Linked DNA regions of Rattus norvegicus. The main gene of each other region encodes a partner of the protein of the gene in region 2 in a complex. Links are inferred from orthologs where the notes say so. Each region holds a gene or a part of one and is shown on either strand. Other genes may lie near its edges.

Region 1 (7,357 bases), on a different chromosome or scaffold from region 2:
CAACTTCTGTAAATTTCATTCCTAAGAGTTTGCTTGACTTTTACGTTGGCAGAAATAAATACCTGTGGATTATATCTAGGGCTTTTAGTCATATACCTGTGTTGTTCACTAATTCTGGTGAATTATTAACCTAAAGCCAGTGTGGTCTTCTGAAGTATCCAGTTATGCCTTTTGGTTTAGAAAATACTTAAGTATTAGTCTACTTTTCTCATTCATGGATCATTGCATTTTTGTATCTGAGACTCAGCATCTTTTCCTTCTTGTAAATGATTTTAGTGTTTTGGTTTAGTGTATCCTACATACTCCTGTATTATTAGGTTCACCAGTGGTGATAGAAAAATTGAGTATCTCCAATTGCAAACAGCAGTAGATTTGAGTATTGAAACAAAATCATGGTGACATCACTGCTGGGGTTCCTGAGGCCTTTGCAACATAATTCACCTCTCACACCTTGCTTCTAGACAAAGGCAATTGGAGGGGTCCTATCTATCCTAGTATGGTTGGAATCTAAATATATGCGTTTCCATTATTTTGGGAACTAATTATTTTTTTTTAAAGATTTTTTTCTTTTTTTTTTATGAGTTATTTTGATACTCGTGCTAGGAAAAGGGAGAAACTAAACCATCTTGAGATCGGAATGCCTATTTTATTCTCCTGGGTTCGGGAGAATTTAAACAGTCTATGCAACCCACCAGATAGTGAGAAATAGCTTCCTGCCATTCCACTGAGCTCTCGGTGACTCATACGTCCTCAAATGTCCTGGCGTTGGTTGAGGTTTGAATCTTTATGTTTAGGAAGCATTCTCACAACAGCACGCTGTCATTTCTTTCTTACCCCTCAGCGGGTGGAAGGTTGGAGAAGAATGGTACTGTGATCTTACCTGATGGAGTGGTCTAAGTTCACAGTTGTTTCAGAGTGGGTGGACTCTGTTTTAGTATTCTGAGATTGTTAGTATGAACTTGGCAATGGAAAGGGGAAGGAAAAGAATGTTTAATAAAAATCAGTGTCTACTCTTTCCTTTATGAGTGCGTATTCCTGGTTGTATGGCGAGAAACTCATGGGTTTTGTGTTGCCATGTGAATGTCGAGAGGGATGCTTGACAGCATGTTAACTGAAGCCAGAGCAAGTGTGTCTGCCATCAGGTAATCTGGAGACGCCAGTGTATGCCGCAAGGAAGTGAGGAGCTGAGGACCATAGTGAAATCACTTACAGAGCGGAAGGGCTGTCTGGCCTAAGAACCCAAAGGAAACAGTGCTGCAGCAGCCTTGTAGGTGTGATTTAGGGTTCTGAACTGGAGACTGATCTTTATTACCTGACTTGCCACACGCAAAACTGTTCATTTTCTTATCAGACCAAAGAACAAAAAGAAGAGAAAAATGAAAAAGCAAAGTCACACTTTTACCGGTTTATGTCACTCAGGTACAATTGTGTGGTGAGGTTTTGTTTTTTTGTCTGATTTTTTTTTTTTTGTACTGCTCAGCATATTATTCTGCTGTTGCTTCTGTCCTCTGTGGGGCACCTGAGTTTTGGGTGCTACTCCTGGGATCTCTACTGCTGTTAGGTGAATGACAGTACAATGGAAGTGACCATTATCATAAGGGCTCTTTGTAAAAAAACTTTAAAAACGCAAAAAAATTTAAAGAAGGATATTGTATACATTTTATAGTCTGGCTATCAGTTTGATATCTTGCTGTCAAGGATGTTTCTCAATCTGTATTTATCCATCCCATCAATAAACGTTAATGATAAAATACTTGATTGTCGTTTTGCATGTTCCATGTCCTTAAACCAGTCTTTAACTGTTTGTTAAATCGTTCCCACTCTGCCTTTGTGTAATAGTATTAGGTTCCTATCACACAATACGCTATGGATGTTGAATCTGCTAGAAAGACCTGAGATTCAACAGTGAACCTGGTGGGTAAAGTAGCTTGTAGGCAGGGGAAACATTCATGCTGTACTGTTGCAGGAGTGCCTGAAGAGTTAAAAATAGCTTAGCTATATAGTAGGCTAAGCCATTCACTTGGCAAGCAAGCATCAAGACACAGCTGAACCTTTGGTACACAGTATGTTTTTATTCAAGACAGTTTCACTGTGTAGCCATCTGGCCTCAAACTGCATCCTCTTGCTACATCAAGATCTTGAGTTCTGAGAAACATAACTGGCATGGACTACCATGTCTGGCATGTATTTTGAAGAAAAGTTACACTTTTTGATAATGTGGAAAAGTTGTGAATGCTACATAAGGTAGATCTTACAAATTACACAAAGGAAAAGACCCTCTATGCACAACTACTTCAAACTTCAGGGGTACAGTACTTTGAAAACATTAAAAGGAGGGTTGGAGAGATGGCTCAAGTGGTCGGGAGTGCTGACTGCTCTTCTAGAGATCTTGAATTCAATTCCCAGCAACCACGTGGTGGCTCACAACGCTCTGTAATGGGGTCCAATGCCCTCTTCTGGTGTGGTGTGTCTGAAGACAGTGACAGTGTACTCACTCACATACATTAAATAAATAAACCTTAAAAAAAAAATCACGAAAACGGAATAGCCTGCTGTTTCTATAATACACTATCCAGCAGGGGAGTTAGAGGATTTGAGAGAAGCATGTCCTACTCTCAAATTTGATTTTCCGTCACTATATCCGTAAATAATGTCTACCTAAGAGAAAAATAGCGTCTACCTTTTAGGGCTGCTCTGCAAAAATTAATTAGTACATATGAGTCTCGAGACAGGAAAAAGAAGAGTTGGAGTGTTTACATGAAAGGACCAAAAAAATGAGCTGAACTGTTCACAATAGAAAACTAACAAAACCTTTTCATGTGTAAACAGAAAACACGGTCAGTCACCGTTCAGTTTTCTGCTGTGTAGGGATGGTAAAGAGGTAGCTGCTTGGGAAGACTGGAGACCACCGCCACCAGAAAACCAACGGTACAGAGATGGAAAAAAATATCTGAACCCAGCGAGGAGCTGTGGCCCGCCTTTCCCACCGCCCACTCACGGGCCGAGTTTCTGACAGACACTTCACATCAGCCAATCGCGTTGCGGAGTCTCACTGTCCCGCCCTCCTCGGGTCTAGTGTTGATTCTGACCAATAAAGGTACAGCAGCCTTAATACAACGACCAATCAGCGCTTAGGAGCCGCAGGGCCGAGTTCCGTGCAGGCGGAGCAGCCAGAGGGCGAGCTGCGCGGCGCAGCGCGGCGGGGAGGTAAGATGGCGCCGTGCCGGGCTCTTCTCCTTTGCCGTTAGGCTGCTGCTCGCCCTTTCTATCAACTCAGCGCGGTACGTCGTCTCCTGCAGCGTCAGAGTCATTCTGATTGTTGGGCTTTCGGGAGCCAGGTTCTCTGGTGCCGGGAGCCGTAGGACAAGATGGCGCTCGCAGGACGACGGCGTAGGCGCTTGGGCCGGGGCTGTGAGCTCTGAGGCGGCCAGGGACAAAGGCGGCGTGCCGGGGCGTGGGGGCGGGGCGCGCCGTTGCAGTTGTGCCGCGTGGGACAGGCGCCGCGCTTCCGGTCGGCTACTGTGGAGACTCGGCCAACGTGGTAGGGACCAGAGAAGCGAGCGGGCGGGCGGGCGGGTAGGCGGGTAGGGAGAAGGCGGGGGTGGGTGGGTTAGTAACGGAAGGTTGGAGGGCGGCGGGAGTTACGGTGCAACCCTCGTCCTGCGGCCCGCCGACCTGCGGGAGCACGTAGACAAGGACTTCTGGCAAGGTTAAGGCCATTTTGATCTTTCCCGTGACCACCTACCCGCAGGTTTTGGTATGAACAGGATTCGGATTCACGTCTTGCCAACGAATCGGGGGAGGATCACCCCAGTGCCCAGATCTCAGGAGCCCCTCTCTTGTTCGTTCACTCACCGCCCATGCTCTCAGCCGCGTCTGGAGGGGCAGGAGTTTTGTCTTAAGCATATTCTTGAAGACAAGAATGCACCCTTCAAACAATGTAGTTACATTTCGACGAAGAATGGGAAGAGGTGCCCCAGTGCTGCCCCAAAGCCTGAGAAGAAAGATGGGTATGTGTAGAGCGCGTGGGTATGTTGTGCCTTGGGGCTCTGAGAGTCGTTCCTTAATTTTCAATGCTGAGGATTGAACCCTGGGTCTGGTTCACGTAAAGCACAGGTTGCATCACCGAGCCTATTTTTACTATAGTTTGAAGCATTTATCTCCGGTTTGTAGTTTGATTTGTGTGTGCAGGGACACGTGGGGAGGTCAGTGGCCGATTTGTTGGAGTCGGTTCTAATGCCTCTTGGTATGGTGAATAGGAGGACGTTAGGCTCGGCTCGCAGAGTCATGGACGCCCCCACCTCCCTTTTGAGACAGTCTATATTCCCGGAACTTCTCCTCATGCGGACAAGACTGGCTTGGAACAGTTTTGGCAACCTTTTACGGTTTTTAAATTTTTTTTCCGTGTATGGGTGTTTTGCCTGCTTGTATGTTTGTACCATGTTCATGCTTGAGGAGGAGAGGGCGGTGGATCTCCAGGAACTGGATGGAGTTACAGAATGTTGGTGCGTCACCATGCCTGTCCCCTGCCTTCAGTTTTAAAGTGAAAAGAGGAACATGTGTAGTTATTTTATGTTGGTCATATCTGTGAAGTTTTAGGTCATGTGTTTGTAAAATTGGAATTAAAGGATACATTCTTTGGGAGGCATGTCAAAATACGAAAATGATCAGAACTGATGCTAGGCGGTGGTGGTGCAGGCCTTTAATCCTAGTGCTTGGGAGGCTGACTTGGGGTGATCTAGGAGTTCAGGCAAACCTAGGCTACAGGGTTGAATTCCAGAATAGACAGGGCTAAACAAAACCCTGTCTTAACCCTCCTACCCAACTCCGCCAATGATGAGAACTTGAAGGACACTTGAGGCACTGCTGAGGAAGGGGCATTTAGTTAATTGCTTACTTGTAAAATTAACATTTGAGTTCTCACTGTGGTCAGAGTAATTTTGAACCCCTAATTCTCCTGCCTCAGCTTCTGGAGTTCTCAGATTATTCCCATACTCAGATCTAAATTCTTCCTTAAACATTTATTCCGTGGATTCACGTGCTGCCAAACATGTGTGGTCAGAGGACAACCCTCTGGAGTTGGTTTTCCTGCTGTGTGGGGTGGTGATGGAACTTGGGTGGTCCGGCCTTGGTGGTAGGTGCTTTTGTTTGCTGAGTCACTGAACTGATGGCACTTCATGTTGGAGTGCTGACTCACTTGCCAAACCTTGTTAAGTAAAAGGCACACTCACTATATGTATGTGTGTTTTGGAAGGAGCTTCATAGTTTTTTATCATATGTACTTACCTGTGCAAACATAGGACTTTACTAGATAATTTTTTATAGATCTTCTTGCTTTAGAATTGTCTGTCTATAGTGGATTGATATTAATATGTGTTTGCAGAATTTATTTTGAAAAAAATACAAGCAGCTCTGATTTTCTGAGATACTGCTAACATTTTTATAGCTGGAATGGATTTGATAACTAGAACAGTGGGTAAGCTACTTGTCGCTCCCTTTGAGAGCAGCTACTATGAGCCAGGGAGGCAGCATGAGTTAGAGCTTTCCCTGCCTGGAGCTCTGGGCCTGACTGAACAGCACACATGCCACGCCACGCCACGCCACGCCACGCCACGCCCCCACCACACCTCACCAAGGACCCCAAATGGCTTACTTGAGGGCAGTTATATTTTTGATTCACATTGCTGCCTGACCCACAACCCCACAACAGGGTCTATTTAACCCTGGCTGTCCTGGAACTGTGTATACCAGGCTGACCTTGAACTCACAGATCCACCTCTGCCTCTAAAGTGCTGGGATTAAAGGCGTGAGTCACCATGCCTGGGTTTCATACTGCTCTTCAAGGTGTGACTATAAGTCATATTTCCTAAAGAAAAAAATCAACTGGTGACTGAATATTGCTGGTTCTTTCAAGAGAGGGCCTATTAAATATTAATGCTTTGTCTCCTTAGGGTGTCTTTCTGTGCTGAACATGCTCGAAGGAATGCCCTAGCACTTCATGCTCAAATGAAGAAGAGTAACCCAGGCCCTATGGGTGAAACCCTCTTGTGCCAGTTGAGCTCATATGCTAAAACAGAGCTGGGCTCGCAGACCCCAGAGAGTAGCCGAAGCGAGGCGAGCCGGATACTGGGTAAGCAAGGAAGGTGCTTACGAGCGAGCCGATTTGGCTCGCTGCAGTGCCTTGGGAGCTGGGTGGCAGTGCCGGGCCTGCTCGTGCTGGTTGCTGGTTGTTTTGCATTTAGAGTTTGTTTAGATAGATTTCTCCCAGCTTGGTGACCTTTCCTTGTGTTAACAATTGAAACAGTTAAAAACTTTGCATTTTAAGGTTTTGGGTTGATCTCTAAGTAATGTAGCTTCATATGTGGAGTTACAGAGGTGGGAAGTCTTAATGGCTGCTCTTCCCTTCCTTGCCTCAGATGAAGACAGCTGGAGTGATGGGGACCAGGAACCCATTACTGTGGATCAGACATGGAGAGGTGACCCTGACAGTGAAGCTGATAGCATAGACAGTGATCAAGAAGATCCCCTAAAGTAAGTTGTATTCCACATGAGACTTTTACATGCTTTATGTAGTTAGTATGTAGAGTGTAGTGTGGCATGTGGTTAACCAATACATGTAGGTGGGTTTAAGGGTCACAGTTCAGCACCGTTTTGCTCTAAGGCAAGATTCCTTGATTATTTTGCAGAGGTCTTGTCACTGGCACCCGGGTAGTGCCCATGAGATGCTTTAGGGAAGAACACTTCTTTTGACACAAGAATGAGAGGGAGTCAGACAAGTGCTGGCTGGCTATCGAGGAGAATGCATTTAGATAGGTACTTGCCCCAAGTCTCAGAAATATGGGCTCATTATACTTAGATACGTGCTGTAAAATTCCATGGTTCTGAATTTTTAAAATTATGTATATGTATTGCAGCTATCTTCAGACACACCAGAAGAGGGCATCAGGTCCCATCACAGATGGTTGTGAGCCACCATGTGGTTGCTGGGAATTGAACTCAGGACCTCTGGAAGAACAGTCAGTGCTCTTTTAACCACTGAGCCATCTCTCCAGCTCATTTCTGACTCTTTAAATGGGAAATAACAGTGTTCAGTCAGTAGTTGGCTTTGGTTTCATGCCTAGTAAAAGGAAAACTGATTTCGAAACCCAAGTTTTAATTATGTTAAGGTCTACTCTAACCCTTGGTCATCTTAAGAATTTAGAAATATCAAAATATTTCCTGTTCCAAAATCTCTGATTTTTTGAAGCCAGTCTCATGTGGCTCTGACTGGCCTGGAACTTGGTATTTGAATCAGGCTGACCAACCTCAGGCTTTGCCTTCCCTAATGTTAGGTTTTGAATCATCTTAGCAGAATTTG
Region 2 (6,785 bases):
GCTAGGCCTTGAACTTTTTAATTTTATCTGTTTTATGTATTTGAGAGAGTAAGTCTCACTTTATAACTCTGTCTGGCCTGGAACTTGCTGTTGACCAGGCTGGCTTTGAACTCTTAGAGAGACCTGCCTGCCTCTGCTTCCTGAGTGTCAACAAACTTTCCTATAAAGGACCAGATGGTAATATCAGGTTTGAGGACCCTAAGTCAGTACTCAGCTTGGCAGCCAAAGCAGGAAGGCAGCTGTGGACATGAGCGCTGCACAATTCACCCACACTCAGTCACACTCCCAGGCAGCAGCCCAGGCCCTAGAAAGCTGGGGTGGTGGTGTGGTCTTCTGGCAATCCACTCTGTATGTCCCAGGGGCAGGAAGGGGCTCTCCTGGGCAGGACTAGGTCCAGGATTCTGTGTTGGTTTTTTGCCTAGGCATGCTAAGATAAAACTAAGAAAAGAATAAGATCCTAGAACTGAAAACAAAATATTAAATCACAACTCTTGAACATGTGTTTAATTCTAGCTGCCAAAGAGAAGGAAAAGAATAAAGAGAAGAAATTCAAAGAACTTGTGAGAGTGAAGCCAAAGAAGAAAAAGAAAAAGAAAAAGAAAACCAAGCCTGGTATTTTTCATGGAGGGCTTCCCCACTCAGGAAGACCATGAGGCCTTTCTTAGGGCTTGTGGGCTCAGCGTAGCATGGGTCCTGGAAGAGGATATGGGTTGAGGCTGACCATGCCACCAACTCTTACAGAGACTTAGTTTATTTACTGTTATCACATGCACTTTCTGATGTGTGTAAGTGAAGGTGTCCACATGTACAGTGCATGTGTGGAGGTGCGAGGACAGCTTTCAGGAACTAATTCTCTTCCCACTGTGGGTTCCAGAGATTTAACTCAGGTCACCAGACTTGTATGGCAAGAATATTTTCCCATTGAGCCATCTTGCTGGCCCCCTCAACCAGGTGTCAGAAAGTTTGACTGGCCTTTATCAATGCCTCCCCGCTTGTGGCATTGGCCACCAGTATGTCCTGTCACAGGGAAGTATATGGATATGCACAGGAATAGTGTTTTGCTTACGTAACTTCTCCCCCTCTGATGTTTCTGAGACATGGTCTTTCTTCCTGTCTCAGATTGTTCTCAAGCTCTCAGTCCTTGAGCATCCTGAGCACTGAGGTTACATGCATGTGTGATTCTCGAGGTGTACTTGTCTAACTGTTAAATACCCAACTCTCAAGAAAACCTTCAGTTGTTGAAAACTGTGAGGTGGGCAGCGAATGAGTCATGTGATCAGCCAGTGTGTGCAGCTCGCTTTTGGGTTTAGATTTCTGGGAATTCTAGGCTGCGAAAAATCTCTGCTGTAACCATGGGAGCTAAAGAGATGCCATGTTTCATTCTCTGTGTCCCTTCCGGCTTATGAAATCTATTTACCAGAAAAGGAAAGGGGTGGGATTGGGGAGGACATGTTCTCAGAGGTGACTGCCCTTCACCCCCTCTGTGGTGTGATGTACCTAGACCTTTCAACTCTTTGAACTCAAAGGCTGTGATTGGATGGGGTTGCTTCTGGGATGTCTGATGGTACCTGGGTTGCTCATTTGTGCCTGATGCTGTTCTTGTAGAATGTCCCTGCAGTGAGGACATCAGTGATACCTCCCAGGAACCTTCTCCACCCAAAACGTTTGCTGTCACCAGGTGCGGGTCCTCACACAAGCCTGCGGTCCATATGAGCCCGCAGCTCCATGGTTCAGATACTGGAAACCACAAAGGGAAATTGAAAGCATGTGGTAAGAGTTCACTCTCACTCGTGGACTATTAGAACGTGTGTGCTATGTGAGCATGGGTGTGTTGTAGAGTAGTACTCAGTGATTGGAAGTAGTCAGTGAGAAGGTCTAGCCTTATCCCCTGCAGTTGCCTCTACCTCTCTCCCTACCGTGTGCAGAAATCTAAAGGTGGCTGTGGACAGAAATGCCTATAAGGCAGGTAGGTCCTGGTTGGCTGGGGATAAAGCTAGGAAGCATTTTAGAGTCCTTGGGGTGATGATATATGTGGGTCATAAGAAGTCACTTTTCTGACAATGAGCTCAGTGATGCTGGGAGCCCCTTTGTGTCCCCTTAGGGAAATGGGGACATTAGTTCAGCCCTGGTCAGGCAGCATGCATCAGTTGAGCTGTTCTAATAAGCATAAAGCTGAAAACTGAGTCCTGTTTCCAGGCCCATGGAAGTCCCTGGACAAGTGGGGATGAAACACAATGTTACGTGTGAGTTTAGAGCACTGACTGTTGGCTTCCCTTTCCTTCCAGAGGAGGATAATTTGAGCGAGTCCTCTTCCGAGAGCTTTCTTTGGAGTGATGAGGAATACGGTCAAGATGTTGATGTGACCACCAACCCAGATGAGGAGCTTGAAGGCGACGACCGCTATGACTTTGAGGTGGTCCGATGCATCTGTGGAGTGCAGGAGGAAAATGACTTTATGATTCAGGCAAGTAGAGTTTCCAGAACACAGGTTAGAGGAAGACATGAGTGAGTCATGTGAGCAGTTCGCACAGCATTAGACTGAGCTTGCTTTTGGGTTCAGATTTCTGGGAATTCTAGGTTGCTGAAAATAACCCATTATAGAATGAGAAGTCATTGAGGCCAAAGGGAAAGCCTTGCCTGTGGTCTCACAGAGAGGAGTTGGACAACAGGGACTCAGACTGTAGAGTGGTAATTCAGTCTTCTTTATGGGCTCATCTTCTCTTTGAGATAAATTTCCCTGGTGTCCTGAGGGAAGAAATGGAGTCAGGTTTTATAATTTGTCTTCCTCTGTTATTTGGTGTGTGTGTATGTATGTGTGTGTGTATGTATGTGTGTGTATGTGAGCATGCATGTGTGCTGGCAGCAGGTGTTCCCAATGAAGGGATTTGGCAGCCTACCTACCATACATCTCTGCATAGGCTATATGTATTAGGAAGAGCAGGCTTTTTTGGCTTTTTGCTTTCCTTGTTTTATATGCATGATAACAAAATTTGAAGTTGACTTAAATTTGAAGTTGCATTTATGTCTTTTGTCCTTTTTTTTTTTTTTTAAGGGCAGAGTCTCTGTCTTAGTTACTTTTCTGTTGCTATGATAAAATATCCTCACAAAAGCAACTTAAGGGAGAAGTTACTGTAGCCCACAGTTCTAGATGGACATAGAATGGTGTGGTGGCAGGGGCATGAAGCCAGCTCCTCCTGTCTCAGTGTCGAGAAGAAGAGTGGAACTAATTCATACCTGCATGCCACACTTAGCTTACTTCTTTACTCTGGCAAGGTTTAGCATCCCCTGCCCAGGAATGGTACCACCTATAATGGGGGTCTCCCTCTCACGCTATCCAAAACAATCCTGAATAAACAGACTCATAAACTAACCTGATCTAGACAATCCCTAAATGAGAGACTCTTCACCGTGATTCTAGATTCAAGCTAATGAAACTAACCAGTCTCACTTGGCCCCATTTCTTCTCAAACATGCTGTATTTTCTGTTTTGTCTCCTAAATGCTGAGGTTACAGGCACAGGCTACCATGCTGTCTCTGCTTCCTGGGTGTAGATCTGTGTGGCTTCTTCTAGAACTTCAGACGCTTTGTTCTTTAAGCACCTTATGCATGCTTATTTTGGTGTGGAGTGAGGGCTGTGACTTCAGTTTACTGGCAGTGTGCTCACATTTTGAAATGTTGCTTGATTTACTGCCTTTCTCTGTACATTCGGGTCTCTTTCTGGATCCTCTCTTTTTCAGTGAAGCAGAGGCGGAAGAACACAACAATGCTGTGTGATTATTTTATGCCTTTGTAATAGTCTAATTCCCTGGCAGGGCTGGCCCCCTCCCTCTCATCTTTCCTCTCTGCATATATTTTCTGTCTACTAATTTTAGAGTCCTGCTTAGTTTCAGAGCTACCAACTTCCTTATTTTTGGGGGCCACAATGTTTTATAAGCCCAAGTAAAGTTAGTGTCTTCAAGGTAGTGATCCTTTCTGCTTCCTGACCCTGGCAGGTCTCCCAGGACCAGGAAAGAGGGGGTTGAGCGCAGGCTTTGCAGGAACTCTTGCACTTGGCTAAGTTCACGCTGTCTCATGTGCCATTAATCACCTGTGCAACCTTCAGCAAGTTTTAAGAATAAATGCAGAGAACTAGGGCGTGATTGCTCTAGGAGGCCAGAGGGACTTAGCTACCATCTGTTAATAATAGAAACTCAGTGTGAGGCTTTGTGCTGAGTTCATAGTGGGAGGATGTGCATATGACCCATGGATTCCTAACAGACAGCCTGTGGTGTGGGCAGGAACAGTATCGCATCTCCACTTGGGGAAACTGAGGCCTAGGGCTGAGACCTGGAACTGTGCCATGTAACACATAATGTATTCTAAGAGTTTGAACAGGTTTCATTAAGCCCCACAAAGTGATCATGAGGCTGAGCGGCAGGAATGGCAGCAATCAGTCTGAAGTCAGTACTATTCAACTGATTACATTTTTGCTCCATGTTTTGTTTTTGAGACAGGTTCTGAAGTATTCCAGGCTGGCTCTGGTCTCATTGTGTAACTGAGTCTGGCTGAGCCTATCCTCATGCCTCTGCCTTTCAGGTTCTGGGATCATAGACATATTCCACCACACTTGACCATCTAGATTCTCTTTATTGTGCTCTATTCTGTTCCAGAGACAATAGTCATACGGACACTTCTGAAATGGCTCTTGGGACTGAAGAACTAAGGACTCTTAACTTAATTTGTTCGTTATGCGTCACCCTCCATGTGATCAGTGGTGGCCTAGTTGGGTCATTGTGTAGCCATAGCTTTGTTGAGTAGAGGTCAGAAGGGAGCGCTCCCCCCATTTCCTTTCACCCACACTCCAGGTCAGTGGGCTCTACTTTCTAAGTTCTGTTGCTTCTTTAATTCTCACAGTGTGAAGAATGCCAGTGCTGGCAGCACGGGGTCTGCATGGGATTACTGGAAGAAAATGTGCCCGAGAAATACACCTGCTACGTTTGCCAAGACCCTCCAGGTAGAGCTTTCTGGAGCTGGGTTGGGAGCAGTATGTAACCTCTTCCTTAGCACAGCAACTTTCCACACACCGTGCTTGTACTCTCGGAGAATCTTCGCTAATGACCAGGTGACTCTGCTCACCTTTGTTGCAAGCCCACGTGGTGGCCTGTCCTTCTGAACGTAGCAGTAAGGGATATGTGTGAAGATGCTTACCTAGCAGAAGGCCTGGTCTTGGAATGTAGTGGGAAACACATATGGTGTTGTTAACGAGAAGCACAAAGCTTGTAGGTCTGATCAAAACTGTCCACAGTGTTGAATGCTCCACGAATTCTCCTGTCATTCTTGCTCAGGGCCTTGCCAATCTTTTGTTCCAGTTTCAGTAGTGAGAGAGTTTCTTCCTTGAGAGCTGAGGATGAGTGTGTGGCTCTGTTGGTGGCATTGCAGGGATGTCCGAGGGCACGTGTTTGCCATTGCACTCACGAGTGACTCGAGTGAATGCATCGGGTTGGAGGGTGCTGTCTCCTGAGCCTTTGGAGCAGGAAGTGCTGCCGAGTCCCTGAGCTCATGCTTCCTGTCCTTTCCAAGGAGGCTTGTGATGGGCAGGGCCCAGGAATCACCCAGGTCATCTGTTATTTGACAGATGGGAAGCAGGGTCCAGCGAAGGGAGGGCCTGTCACCTGACTAGCTGGGGCAGGCAGTACTGTTGGAAGGGGCTTGGAGCCTTATACTTGCTCTGTGTCCCTTTGACACATGATGTCAGGCTCTGGGACCACAGCCATCAGTAAGATGGTTCATTTCTTCTGCCTTTTAATGGGACCTGGGAGAGAAAACAAGTTAAATAAACATAAGACAGGTATACAGGTGAAGCTAGGAGGGAAAGCAATGAGGTGGTAACCAGGGACCCTGAAAAGGCCTTCTGTTGCCAGCTGGTGACCAAAAGGCCTGTGTGAGGAGACGGGCAGCATATGCCCTGGAGAGGCCTCGGGATGTGCTGATTCAGATAGTAGTACTAGAGGGAAGAGGTGAGGCCAAGGAAGAGGTGTGTGTGTGTGTGTGTGTGTGTGTGTTTAAAACTCATGATAAGGGTGGAGTGAGGAGAAGAGGAAAGAAAGCAGGATTCAGTCGGCCTTAATAGATAGAGTTAGGGATTTTGGGTCGCCTTCTGTAAGCAGGCGAAAGCTATGGAAGGTTGTGAGAGAGGAGGGAAGGAAATGACTTAAGTCTGAAGAAATAACTCAGCTGGCCATGACGGTAAACATCTGTATTCCAGAACTCTTCAAGGAGAAGCAGGAGGAGTGGGTTCAAAGCCAGTCTAAGCTACATGGTCAGTTTGAGGATTGTCTGAGCTGTGTGAGAGCCTGTCTAGAGAAAGGAGGGGAAGGGCAGAAGCAGCATGGGAAGGAGGGAGGAGATGGTTGAAAGGAGGAAGAATACAGACCTGTGGCTAGTGGAAGGGACCATGCCTTGTTTCTGCCTTGTCGCCAACACCTCATGGAGGCCAAGTAAATGTGAACCAAATGAATGCAGCAGTCAGAACACAGTTCTGGAAACTCAGGATGATAGGACCGCTGAGGGGACAGCCTAGGCTTCCCTCGGGCGTGTTTGACTGTTTTAATGTTATCACTGTAGGTCAGAGGCCTGGCTTCAAGTACTGGTATGACAAGGAGTGGCTGAGCCGGGGACATATGCATGGTCTGGCATTTCTAGAAGAGAACTACTCCCATCAGAATGCCAAGAAGATTGTGGCCACCCATCAGCTTCTCGGGGATGTTCAGAGAGTGATTGAAGTTCTGCACGGCTTGCAGCTCAAG

What was found. Proteins that work in one complex are often made in the same cells at the same time.
Region 1: Phf20 (region 2) and Kansl2 share a complex: the UniProt entries of both Homo sapiens proteins name them as parts of the NSL complex. The link is inferred for Rattus norvegicus from reciprocal best matches to the Homo sapiens genes PHF20 and KANSL2.

Annotation. Positions count from the first base shown.
Region 1 is NC_086025.1:131,560,572-131,567,928, reverse strand, and holds the start of Kansl2 (KAT8 regulatory NSL complex subunit 2), read left to right. Parts: upstream 1-3,175; 5' UTR 3,176-3,541; intron 3,542-3,751; 5' UTR 3,752-3,759; coding exon 3,760-4,010; intron 4,011-5,951; coding exon 5,952-6,130; intron 6,131-6,416; coding exon 6,417-6,531; intron 6,532-7,357. UniProt on the Homo sapiens protein: Non-catalytic component of the NSL histone acetyltransferase complex, a multiprotein complex that mediates histone H4 acetylation at 'Lys-5'- and 'Lys-8' (H4K5ac and H4K8ac) at transcription start sites and promotes transcription initiation.
Region 2 is NC_086021.1:165,258,638-165,265,422, forward strand, and holds part of Phf20 (PHD finger protein 20), read left to right. Parts: intron 1-513; coding exon 514-612; intron 613-1,605; coding exon 1,606-1,770; intron 1,771-2,285; coding exon 2,286-2,464; intron 2,465-4,893; coding exon 4,894-4,993; intron 4,994-6,603; coding exon 6,604-6,785. UniProt on the Homo sapiens protein: Methyllysine-binding protein, component of the MOF histone acetyltransferase protein complex.